Linked DNA regions of Bombyx mori. The protein of the gene in region 1 purifies or fractionates together with the protein of each later gene. This does not show direct contact. Links are inferred from orthologs where the notes say so. Each region holds a gene or a part of one and is shown on either strand. Other genes may lie near its edges.

Region 1 (4,216 bases):
GAAAAAGTTTAATTAGTTAGGAAAAAAAATCATAATCAATTTATATCAAGATTAAAAAAACGATTATGTATGAAAGTATGCATCCGATAGATTAAGTATGTAAATAATTTCACTAAAATGAAGTATTTCAAGATTTTTAGACACCTTAAAGTTGGTGAAAATTGCATTGAATTGTTAACATTAGATAGATACAGGTCAAGTTAATAAAAGCATGTTTAAGAAGTACATTTCGTTTGATGGTATGTGTGTATTATAATTTACATTTAGTTTAAGAGAACGGTTAACAATTAAGATTGGTTTCCAAGTGATACTCTGTTTAGTAAGTCTATCAGAATAAAGGATATTATTATTACTAATTCCCAAAGCCAAGGCTTCTTAATTAAGTATTTTGAACTTACTTATCTCTGCTAATGTGGCCACAGCTGGACGGGATAGTCGATCAGCTGTAGGGTCTGCTGCAAGTGCAGCTAGACATCGAAGAAGTGCTGCTGCAGCTCTCATTGTGCACGCCCGCCGAGCAACACGCATAGCTTGGGCACGTTCTTCTTCATTGCGAATAATAACTTCCATAGATCTATAAAAACATGATAGTCTCACATTTGAAAACTTTCTTCATATTCAGTTTCAATAATTGTTATTTGTATTAACTCTACTATTATGTACATTTTGTGTATACAATGTACATGGCAACTTCTATTTATGAAATTTGTTCATAACATGACACAGTAATTATATCAAATTGATTATTTTTGATTAATGCAATCTATTCATTTTTCAACTGTATGTATTGCCTTTACAGTCAATTATCTATTTTTAGGTATTCTATTCTTAGGAAATACTAGGTATGAGGGTAGTGTTGGCATAGCCAAAACAATTATGTTATACTACTAACACTTAAGTATGTAAAAGGAAAAGGGTATATTAACATAAATATAAAAACTTGTCAGTTTAGAGTTAATATTTGTGCAACTACAATGATGAAAAGACCTCTGAGAAGTAGCTCAATCCTAGACTATGGAATCAGCACCTTGGCTTAGTTTTGTGATCAATTACATTTATTAGTAATGTAACCTTATTAAGCACTAATCATCATTTTATGAACTTTTTTTTTATTGCCTGGATGTGTGGACGAGCTCACAGCCCACCTGGTGTTAAGTGGATACTGAAATCCATAGACATCTACAACATAAATGCGCCACACCCCTTGAGATATAAGTTCTAAGGTCTCAATATAGTTACAACGGCTGCCTCACCCTTCAAGCCGAAACGCATTACTGCTTCACGGCAGAAATAGACGGGGCAGTAGTACCCACCCATGCGGACTCACAAGAGTTCCTACCACCAGTAATTACACAAATTATAATTTTGCGGGTCCCAATATGGCCTTTATTTATGGTCATCACTTTCCGGCTAGCATGTTAGCAGCAGTAGAAATTTGTATGAGAAAAGACTGAATCAAACCAATTAACAAAAACAAACAGGCTTAAAATAAAAATACGTGGGGTCAGCAACATCTTAGCACTGTTTTATAGATATCTCCAGTTTAAAACACAGTTTTTTAAGAGTTTTACAATAAAAAGTGCTTTATTATTTTTTACCTTACAACGAGGTAGGGTAATTTCATATTATTGAAAATAGTGACATCATAATCAGTCTTCAACAAGTGACGTATGACTCTTAAAGCGGCAGCTCGAATAACCATAGACTCATCCACAAGACTAATACGCAAGCTGAAAACAAGAAATATGTTTTAAATAATACCTACTTATGTTTCATATTCTCTAAATAAATGTTAATATTTCCTTCAGTTTTCATAAGTTGTACGCATAATTAAATCTACTGTCTCAGAGTCAGTTTAAGTTATACAAACTGACATACTTCAAGATTATTAATATCTTCTGTGCAAAATGAAACATTAGTGTGGAAATATTATTATAGAAAAACAAAAAGTAGTTAGTTGAAGGTCGACTAACAATACTCAAATGCTGACAACATATTTTTCATACATGACTACAAAAACATCAGAAATAATGAAAAACGTAAGATAAAAACTTAAAAGTTGTTTAAATTATAATATATATAACCATATACAACTTTACAATTTGACATTAGTGTGATTTTTGTGACAAATTATAAGTAACAATAACTTTGTTAAAGACCCTATTTTATTTTAAATACTTACAATACAATATGGCATACAACAATGAGTTTCGGCTATGATACAAGAATATTTATTGAGCTTATAAGATTCAGTATTGAAATTTTGTCACAACAATATAATTTTAATACATAATTCTTACCATGCCATCAACTCATCAGGAGTAAACCCTAGGTTGCTTCTCTCTTCTTTACATAACAATGTTACTAATGCATTCAGGTAGGCCAATTTTCTGCTATCAGTACTACTTCTGTGCATGCCTCTAAATCCTGACCTGTATTCCGTAGGCACAGTTTTGTAGGAGGGAGATGTATCATTTTGTGTTGATTTTCTTACGTAAAGGCCTTGTATTATGTCCCTGATATTCTCTTCCGGAGTTCTATTCTTGATGTCCAACTTAAACAAATCACTTGCAGGTTTTCCTAAAATATGTGATGAAAAATTATAGTCTATGCTGCATGGCAAATAGTAACAGTCGAAGTCAATATAATTGAAAACAACATTAACGTAGAAATTAAACAAATCGTTAATGTAATTTCTACAAATAAATTACCTCTCCTTCGATTCAAAATGTGTTCGGATAAATCCATCATCTCATTTTCAAAAACACAAGCTAAATTCGATATTGTTAAATAGTCACCGCTCTAATTAATTAGTTTTTCTCAGGGTTAAAATAAATTAACTGAATACAGAAAGTGTAATAAAATTACAACCCTGTTTTCCTCGCACACCAACATCACAAATCCACACATTTGATTTTTTTAGACGTCTGACATTCATTGACGTATTTGACAAACTGTTAAAATGTTTAAGTATGATCTATGCTAAGTGAAATTTTTGTTTTGTCAAAGACGCAAATGAAATTGCAATTCTATAAATTCCCATAAGATGATTTTCAACTAGCAAAAGTGTGCTTTGTACGAGCTTTTTAACTCTAGCGGCAAACGTAGGGGAACTGTTCCAACTCCACACAAATTTGAGGCAACTTTTACGCGATCTAGAAGTTAAAAAACTCGCACTAAGCACTTACAAAGCCCCATACTCATGATCAAGTAGCTATCCTTCAACAATCGATTACAATCAGAAGCGGTGTGGTTGTTTTGGAAGCCATAAAAATACTGAAAAAGGTATAGGTATTTTAATGAACTGCAGCTCAGTTGATACACGTATAATATATACGTATATCAACTGAACTACATATACGATATACGAACTACAATATTATACGATGTATGATATACGATATACGTGATATACGCTTATATACTATTTGCAAAGTCGAACTTCGTCATTCCACCAGTGGCGTAGTAACTAACTCATCTGTGACCAATGGTGGGTGTACATTTAGGGCAGTCGGGGCAAGTGCCCAGGGTGGCAAAATTTGAAAGTGAAAAATGGTTTTTTTAGTCTTATCAAGATTGTTCTATATAATTAATTACTTTTATTAATTCATAATTTTCTGTTTAATTGATAATTCAAGAAATTCAATTCATCCATTATTTGCGAATTATAATTTTGGCACTTTTGGAAAAAAAAATTAATAACCAAAATGATTTAATCAATTTATTTCCTTGGGATTTAAAAAAATATCGGATGTTTCTATTTTCTGGAAATAAAGAAATTTAATTAGCATTTTTTAATGTAATGTCATTATGTGTCACCCTTAGTAAAACATTTAAAATTGTTAGAGAAAAACAAATATTTATTTGTTTTTGGAATATTTAACATAATATATAATAAAGCATACAAACAAAAGTTACAAAATATACTACTATTTTGTAACATTGGTTACTGTTCGCGCGACAGCGCGACGTTTGTAAATGTTCGGCTCAACTCGGGTGCCGTCGCCCGTACGCACCCCGCACCTCTCATAACAGTGCGGTACATGACGGCACGCGGAGATACGCTCGTTCGATATTGAGTAAATTGTGCGCGCGCGCCTTTCGATACTAAGTAAAAGGTATAGTGTGAACCGGTGAAAAGGTGTATGTGCCACCCATCGCAGAGAAACACCACTACGACCGTGATAGTGCCAACATCAGCCTCCAAGTAAGTCCC
Region 2 (4,441 bases), on another chromosome or scaffold:
TCATCTTGCCGGCTGGATCAATAGCTATGTCCTGAATCGACGCCTCCGCTTCTGGTATCTAACAAAAATAAGGATAAATAGTATAATATTTATGTGTAACATGTAAATGAAATAAACATGGTTTATTTAAATTGAATTATGTGGTTGGACAGGCACTTGGCTAATGATTGATCAATTACTAGAGCTTATCAATAAAACATAAATGCTCAAAACTGATGATTGTTTCGTGGAAAAAAAAAGGTAGGATGGTGGTCCATACACAAGTGGGTTTATAATACATCCAACCATCAATCAACCTATTAAGGACAGCAGAAATATGTTATAATATACAGAAAATACTACTGGCCATTCTCTAGTAAATACCTCAGTAGCCTTTCTATATATCCATTATGAGCATATTGGTGATATCATGTTGGCATCAGCTTTTTATGCAGGAACACTACTGAATAGGATGCGGAGATAGAGTGTTCCTTTCACTTTTGTAGCTCACCACAACATACTGTATTATAGCTTCTCAGCTGATAGTGGATGTAAAAAAATATATATAGTAAAGTTACCAGTTGTTCATTTTGATCCGTTTTCAGATCCCATATATGTATAATGCCACTCTGGTCTCCAACCATTATCTGGGACTGATCAGGATGAAGCATTACTGCATTCACCGGAGCTTGAACTTGGAATATCTTTTGACACCTTGTACGTGGTGCAGCCCTACATGAGAAACATGCCGCTTTAAAATTTCTATACTAAGCTTTCTAGGTCCAGTCAGTAAATTGTGTTTTTAAACTCAATAAAAGTTAAAGTTTAATTTCAGAGATCAGCAGACAACCTCATGGTCTCCTAGTGTAAATAGTTATTAGCTTCTATGATCTAAATTTTGATTTTATTCCATAACCATTAGCATTACACTTGACAGCTTTAAAGCAGGAATCATATCTTCATACCACCAGTAAATATCAGTTGGTGAATCTTTTATAATAAGCACGAATATAACGAATGATATAAGGTGCTGCATTGTCATCTAGCATCAGAGAAACCTCCAAACATCATTTGGCCAAGGTTAGAAAACACAAATGATGTTACCTAATAACTGGTTGATATAATACATAGCGTCTTTAACCTGGGATCCCATATCCTGGCTGTGCAGTCCTCACCTCCTGTGTACATCCAAGTGCCATTTTTCTGCAAAGTTACAATTTAAAAAAAAAAAAAATTAATGACTTGTCTTATTGTAATAGATGTGTTCACAAATTAAATATCCAATCATAAATATACATAGTTTTTTTTTTTTCTAAAAGATAACAATCTTGAAAAGTTGTTTGAAAATGAATAACTGATTTTAACATCAGTTTTTGTTTAAAAACTGCATGTCGACACAATTTGTGTGTTTTTCAAATTGTTGCCCTAGAAATAATTATAATCTCAAAGATTTATAGTAATTCCTATGCCAGTGAGATCTCAAATATTTAAAGGACACTGAAGATCCAGTTTCAACTGAATGAGTTTTGAACTGAGAAAAGAAATATATTTTTTTTTCTATTCCTGGCAAATATTTAGAGACATATATTAAAGACACGTACTTCCTGTAGTTTACTGTCAGTGACACCTAGGTCACAAATAATCTACCTGAAGGTCATGTATATATTGTTTTCAACAAATTTTAATTGAATTTATGCATAATACCTGAAACCCAACTCGAGATACGTTTTTGGAGATGTCCTCAAAAGTTGTGACCGGGTCTGGATTGGCACTACTAAGATCATATAACCGTATATGCTGAAATCCAGCTGCTGCTACCATCGATGTTGGTGAGATCTCCAAGCTGTTCACTTGCTGAAAGGAAAACTCGTCATGCAATAAGCTTTAGCTGATTTTCATAATATAATCAGTTTGTAAAAATATCACGAAAGTTAATTTAAGTTACCTCACAAAAGATGACTGGCATGTTAATCTGAATTATATTTGTACAAAGTGGTCTGCTTGTATTAAATCTTAGCTCACAATTATCTGACACTGTCGTGACCAGTTTTAATCGTTTAGGTAATTCTCTTTTTTTGGACATTTTTGCAACTTTACAGGAGAGCCATTTAAAGTTTAAAATTCTCATAATAAAAAAAGTCCATCAGCTATTTGGATGCAGTAAGCTTAATTGATGTTCAATCAAAAACATTGAATTGGTGATAGTTAATACCAAATAAAATGGACCTTTAATTACAAAGATAAATGTCGCGTATTAATCGAAATATCGCTTAATTCAAATAGCCTTTCAGCCCTCGTTATTATTCAAAGCGAAATTTCCAAATCAATTTTTTATGAAAATTTAAAATAATCATGCAAATTTACGGAGCGATTTGAATGAGTTATCTGGAAATGAATTGAGTCATTTTGGTCATTTATAGAAGATCAATAACCGAAACATTAAAATATGAAGTACCGAATCTGGATGCTGCATTGTTCGTAAACAAACACCACTGTGTGCCTGCCATAGCTTGATAGTATGATCGTAGCCTCCTGTTACTAAAGCCACCTGCGATCCTCCAAGAGAAGCAGTGGTATCACCAGCCATTTTATGAAACTTATTGTTTAAGCAATTGGCATATTTATTTCTTAAAAGCACATTTTTTTATTTCCAACTGCCAGGTAATTTTGAAATTTCGGATTTTAATTTTTAATTTCGAACTTTCCGAGCAACATAAATCTTGTATGATGTGATATAATCTACGTTATACTTGAACCGAATTATCGGGGCGCTTTTAATATTACTGTAAATTCTAACTAATGCATCTCATAAAGTCAAAACATAACCAAAACAACACAGCACAGGTAATTCAAAGTTGAATGAAGTTAGCCACTCAAAAAAATTTTTTTTTCCTATTTTATACTTATTTTCTATTAATTCGTTTGTTCATCATTTGTTCATGATTGTTCACTGTTAATAATTGTTTGTTCTGCATTTATTTATTTAAAAAAAATATTTAAAAATATACCTACAAGTTAGCCCCTCTAATGCAATTTTTTATATTTTTTCATCCTTAATGACTCGTAAATATTCATTTTCGATTGTTCTTATATAAAACACGTTTGTCCTCTTTCGAAATTACTCGTTTTTTGTTTAATTTACTATTTTTATTAGTTGAATAAATGTATGCAAAATATGTGTACTGCGCATGCGTCAACTATAATGCCTAAACTTTCCACGCGGTTTTAATCGTAAAAAAAAAACAAATATAAATCCTGAAGGAGCAATTAATTGGTATACAGTTTAATTAAAAAAATTAAAAAATAAATAAATGAAATAATGTGCATTGGCGTTAAGTTAGACCAAATACATTTTTTCCATCCTCTTACCTATCGTATTAAAATGTTATTTTACTAATGTTAGGAATATAATTTCGACTGTGTAAAAAAGTTATTATAATGTATACCTATATTATCTCTTGAAAGATAAATAATGAACATATTTACTTATTTGTTTATATTACCTATGTGAACTCCCTATCTTTTTTATACCTTCATAACGATAAGTAGGAGGATGGAAAAAATGTATTTGGTCTAACTTAACGCCAATACACATTATTTCATTTATTTCTTTTTTAATTTTTTTAATTAAACTGTATACCAATTAATTGCTCCTTCAGGATTTATATTTGTTTTTTTTTCACGATTAAAACCGCGTAGAAAGTTTAGGCATTATAGTTGACGCATGCGCAGTACACATATTTTGCATACATTTATTCAACTAATAAAAATAGTAAATTAAACAAAAAACGAGTAATTTCGAAAGAGGACAAACGTGTTTTATATAAGAACAATCGAAAATGAATATTTACGAGTCATTAAGGATGAAAAAATATAAAAAATTGCATTAGAGGGGCTAACTGGTAGGTATATTTTTAAATATTTTTTTTTAAATAAATAAATGCAGAACAAACAATTATTAACAGTGAACAATCATGAACAAATGAATTAATAGAAAATAAGTATAAAATAGGAAAAAAAAATTTTTTGAGGGGCTAACTTCATTCACCTGACTTGAATCACATTTTCTTTGGATGCCTCCTACGTGACTGTTCCTCATTCATAAATTCCCTGATAAACCTCCGAGTTCCTCTTCCCACATCAATCCCTACATTATTAATAATATTAAAATGTAAACAGTTTTAAAATATAATATTCTTTTTATTTATACCCAATCACTATATATTATGAACTCTTAGGCATTATTATATATTATTATCCTATTACGTACATATCCTTTCCAAATTTCGAACCTTCCAATTGATTCCTAAATAAAACTGGTTTCCCTACCTTTTCCACACTAGTAGTGGCAAATGCACAAACCGTGCGAGTCAAAATATAAAAAAAATAAAAAATACATGCTTCCATCTTGAGGTTTTTTCTTGTTAATCTTTCGTATTTTAATAAGAAACAACATCTTGGT
Region 3 (4,106 bases), on another chromosome or scaffold:
ATGCTAAATGTCTCTGAATGTATAATATTCATTTTAATTACATTAATTCTTCTAATGCAGTTGGAACTGAGTCTATTCTACATTTTAAGGTGTTTAGATTATTAAGGAAAATAAACATATCATTGTTTTGTTTACAATTATATAGGATACTTAAGAACAATCATAAAGATGGGAAATAAATTAGACAAATCAACTCATTTGCTCAGTAAGCACTGTTTAATACAAATATAATATTTCTAAAGAGGTTTGAATTGAATTTGTCAGTCAAGTTAATGAATGTGATGTAATGGTAATTTGAAAAGACAGTGTAAGGGGATAACACTTTCTTAAAATTCCAATTTATTTATCTTATTGTTACCCATGCAGAAAGTTATATGTTAAAAAAGTTCATCTGCATTGCATTTGTTGCAATGCAATTTTAATCTCCCAGAAATAGTTGGTTCCTCTGCATGTTTGTTGGTTAACACAATTATTAACCAGAGCATGTGTGTGATGTGTTCTTCAAGTGTTTGTTGCATGAGTCAATAATTATGTACGACCCAAAAAATCTAAAAAGTGCAGTAGGACATGAAAGTTACATACTAAACTACTGAAAAATCACCTCAAAATAGAAGGCCATCCTATCCTGTCGTGTTCAAGAAAAAACTTGATTTATAACACAACTACACACATTGTTTTCTTGCACTACTTTCTACCAACGTATATAGCCATGTAGTTTATTAGAATTTATTATTTTAAAAACTCCTAATTAAAAATAATGTTGTAATGTTTTACTGGTGGTAGGACTTCTTGTGAGTTTACACGGGTAGGTACCACCACCCTGCCTATATTTATGCCGTGAAGCAGTCATGCGTTTCGGTTTGAAGGGTGGGGCAGCCGTTGTAACTATACCTTACTACCTACTATACCTTAGAACTCATATTTCAAGGTGAGTGGCGGTATTTACGTTGTAGATGTCTATGGGCTTTAGTAAACACTTAACACCAGGTGGGCTGTGAGCTTGTACACCCATCTAAGTAATAAATAAATAAAAGTTGAATTAAAAATAAATATGAGAATTATACTATTGGTTTAACCACGTCTATCTTCTATCTTTCAGCCCACAGACACCAACTGCTGGACATAGACCTCCCCCAAGCCTCACCAAAATGATGCAGATAGTGCAGGACCAATCGTGGTGAGGCTTGTTTTAACTACAATCTACAATTTTTAGACACTGCTTCCAATGTAGCACTATTAAATATTAGCCAATGATTACAGTCAGCAGTCACATGTGATGAGTACGAACTGATACAACATCCTCTAATTTACAACCTCATTCAGTGTACACTACAAAAATTATTTTCAACATAGATATTTCAAATTTTTTGAAAGTTTATTTTATTAATATTAGTCATAGCATCATGCGGCAAGTTCCAATGAAGTCATACTTTTAATATGTGTGACTAACATAATGAGACTTTCTAATTTATAAATCCATTTAAGTTTGACATTCACTTGCAAATTAGCACAATTATATTTAAAATTAAATTACAATAAATTTCATATGAAATAAAGACACTTGCAAAATATTGGCTGAAGGTCAAGCCATAAAAGGGTGTGGTCAACTTTAGTCCCACTGACAATACTTTTAGTGGTTCATAAAAATAATCAATAATGTACTGATTGCAGACCAACCTGTTACAATTTTCTCTATGTCACACTATGTATGTAGAGCAATATTCAATACTTAGAACCCATGATGAAATGGATAAGGATGGCCTAGGGCTTCTTTTTTAAAAATTAGAATTGAATGTCATATCTAATACCACCCATGTTTTTTGCAGATGAAAGATAGATGAAGATGAAAAATCTTTATGCACTCAATAAAATGAAGTGTAACAGTTGTGTAACAAGTCATTCATATTTCATCCATGTTGTGCATTGATAAGATTGACAATGATATTCTTCAATGATAATGGTAACTAAGGTCATTGAACCGTGGACCTTCACAGACTTTCAATTATTACTCCCGAGTTTTTCATGAGGAAGATGACAGAAAACTATGATAATACTTTAACAGAAAGCGATATAGTTAGACGAAATCGTTGTAAAACCCTAAGGAGACAGTTCCCGTGGCATCAAATTGTGAACAATAGGTGAAATCTAAGGCGCCATAAAACTACGTCATAACTAAGATGTTTCTAATGTGTCTGGATCACAATAGCAGACATACAAGAAAACCAGTGGCGCATCGATCCAGATCCTCTGACACCCGGTCAACGGTACTACAAATTCTTGAAAATCACTTTTATTGGAAACTTTCAGTCATAAAGTTGCGATTCTACAACTGAAAAAACTATCGTAACTGAACCATGAAGGTTCTATTTCAGGTTGAGAATGGATTCAGCGTTTTTGTTCATGTAAAAAACCTAAGACATCCCACCGGTGGATGACGCATCGATCGCAGGCCAAGCCTAATGAATACCATTGACTCGTTTTTCTATTATCAAATATACAAACTGCGACCTACAAGGCTATTTGCAATAGAAAATTGAAATAAATGAAATGATAATTACGTCTTGGACATAGGATATTCTCTAAAGAATCTTAAAATCGTTTTTCAATTGTCGGCGAAAATAAGATAGAATCTTCGACTGAATGATAGCATTACAGTAAAAATATATGCTTACCGTCATAGCGCTCAGCCTGCTCAGCTAACTTTGCTTTATACACATTATCTTCCCTTTCCGACATTGTGGATGACAAATGATTTTACACTAACTAAATCCGAATCGCCAGGTCACTTATTCACCAAGATGGCCGCGCCCGCCAACCGAATCCAAATTCGATCTTCAACTAAACTCCGCCCATGACGTCATAGACTAGGCAGCTTCCGTTCTACATTTGCTGCCAGATAAAAAGTAATTTAACTACTGATTTAACTGAAATGAAAAAATTAAGGAAGGTTAAATTACATTTTTATTACTACTATTCTACTTTGACCAATATAAAATAAAGTTATTCTAATAAGCTTAGATTCATGAAAGTTCAGGCAAAAAAACAAATAAAAACTGTAATTTAAAAAAAAAAAGTGTGTGTGTCCGCTCCGACGCACGACTGGAGTTTACTGGATATAAAAAATTAAACGAAACAATACGAGAAATAGTTCTATATTACGACAACACGATACACTACAGATTATTAACAAATTAACGAGACACAAAACAAACGACTAACAAATATATGAAAATACAATAATGAGAGAAACGCGCGATCAGTATAGTAACCGGCAAACATCGTGAGCAAATGACCTTGACTGCGCAGAACCGAATTTTAGATCACTTTGGTGGTGAGGGTGAGGCGCGACGGCAGGGGAAATCGTATCGAGCGCGTTATTGGTAGATCAGTCGAACCTTGCGTCCCGCACCGCGCCTTCGTTCCGCTTGCTCCCAAAAGTACGCTTGCGTACAGTGAAAAGTCTATCGTTATTAATCGTTAATAAATTTTGTTATAATTGCTTGTTGACTTTGTTGCCATTGCTATTTGTTGAGTATTTGTTGATTTTTTATAAAAAATACACTATGCCGCGACAAACTTGTGTAGTATTCAAAAGAAAGGGCAGAAAAATTGTGTACGACGTATATTGCTTCATTATAAAACAGGGGAAGAATGATATTATGAAAAAGTAAAACAGACTTCGGAAGCAACAAAAACATCAGTGAGTACTGTTAGGTGCATTATTAACAAAGAAAGCTAAAGGCTCTGGCTTGCTCGTCGTGCTTGGGACTCCGGGTAAGAAAAGATCAGGGAAGAAGAAAGTTACCGGAATGGATAGTTTCGTTCAATCTGTAATAAAAAGATGTAATCATAATAACTACATAACAAGCAGCGAAACTCCGTACCGTAGAAAGGCTTCGAAAATTTTAAAGAAGATATACATTTTAATAGCTCGGAATGAAGTTTACGACGAATTATGAAAGAGCTAGGCTTCAGATGGAAAAAAAAAACAGAAAATAATCGGAAGCTGGTAATTGAAAAAAGTAACATTCGATTACTACGAATCGAATATCTTCAAAAAATAATAAATTATAGACAAAAAAGAAGATCGAACCGACCGAGTCGTA

The links.
Region 2: the proteins of rapamycin-insensitive companion of mTOR (region 1) and target of rapamycin complex subunit lst8 purify together in Homo sapiens (affinity purification with western blotting; 14 studies listed by BioGRID and IntAct, with this or other methods). This does not show direct contact. The link is inferred for Bombyx mori from reciprocal best matches to the Homo sapiens genes RICTOR and MLST8.
Region 3: the proteins of rapamycin-insensitive companion of mTOR (region 1) and Ywhae purify together in Homo sapiens (affinity purification with mass spectrometry; 4 studies listed by BioGRID and IntAct, with this or other methods). This does not show direct contact. The link is inferred for Bombyx mori from reciprocal best matches to the Homo sapiens genes RICTOR and YWHAE.

Annotation. Positions count from the first base shown.
Region 1 is NC_085128.1:9,698,492-9,702,707, reverse strand, and holds the start of rapamycin-insensitive companion of mTOR, read right to left. Parts: upstream 2,954-4,216; 5' UTR 2,752-2,953; coding exon 2,712-2,751; intron 2,581-2,711; coding exon 2,301-2,580; intron 1,731-2,300; coding exon 1,599-1,730; intron 575-1,598; coding exon 399-574; intron 1-398. UniProt on the Homo sapiens protein: Component of the mechanistic target of rapamycin complex 2 (mTORC2), which transduces signals from growth factors to pathways involved in proliferation, cytoskeletal organization, lipogenesis and anabolic output.
Region 2 is NC_085114.1:11,954,808-11,959,248, forward strand, and holds the start of target of rapamycin complex subunit lst8, read right to left. Parts: upstream 2,841-4,441; 5' UTR 2,567-2,840; coding exon of another isoform or gene 2,435-2,566; 5' UTR 2,108-2,434; coding exon 1,925-2,107; intron 1,834-1,924; coding exon 1,684-1,833; intron 1,183-1,683; coding exon 1,121-1,182; intron 712-1,120; coding exon 558-711; intron 59-557; coding exon 1-58.
Region 3 is NC_085122.1:14,131,376-14,135,481, reverse strand, and holds the start of Ywhae (14-3-3 epsilon protein), read right to left. Parts: upstream 2,848-4,106; 5' UTR 2,737-2,847; coding exon 2,673-2,736; intron 1-2,672. UniProt on the Homo sapiens protein: Adapter protein implicated in the regulation of a large spectrum of both general and specialized signaling pathways. Binds to a large number of partners, usually by recognition of a phosphoserine or phosphothreonine motif.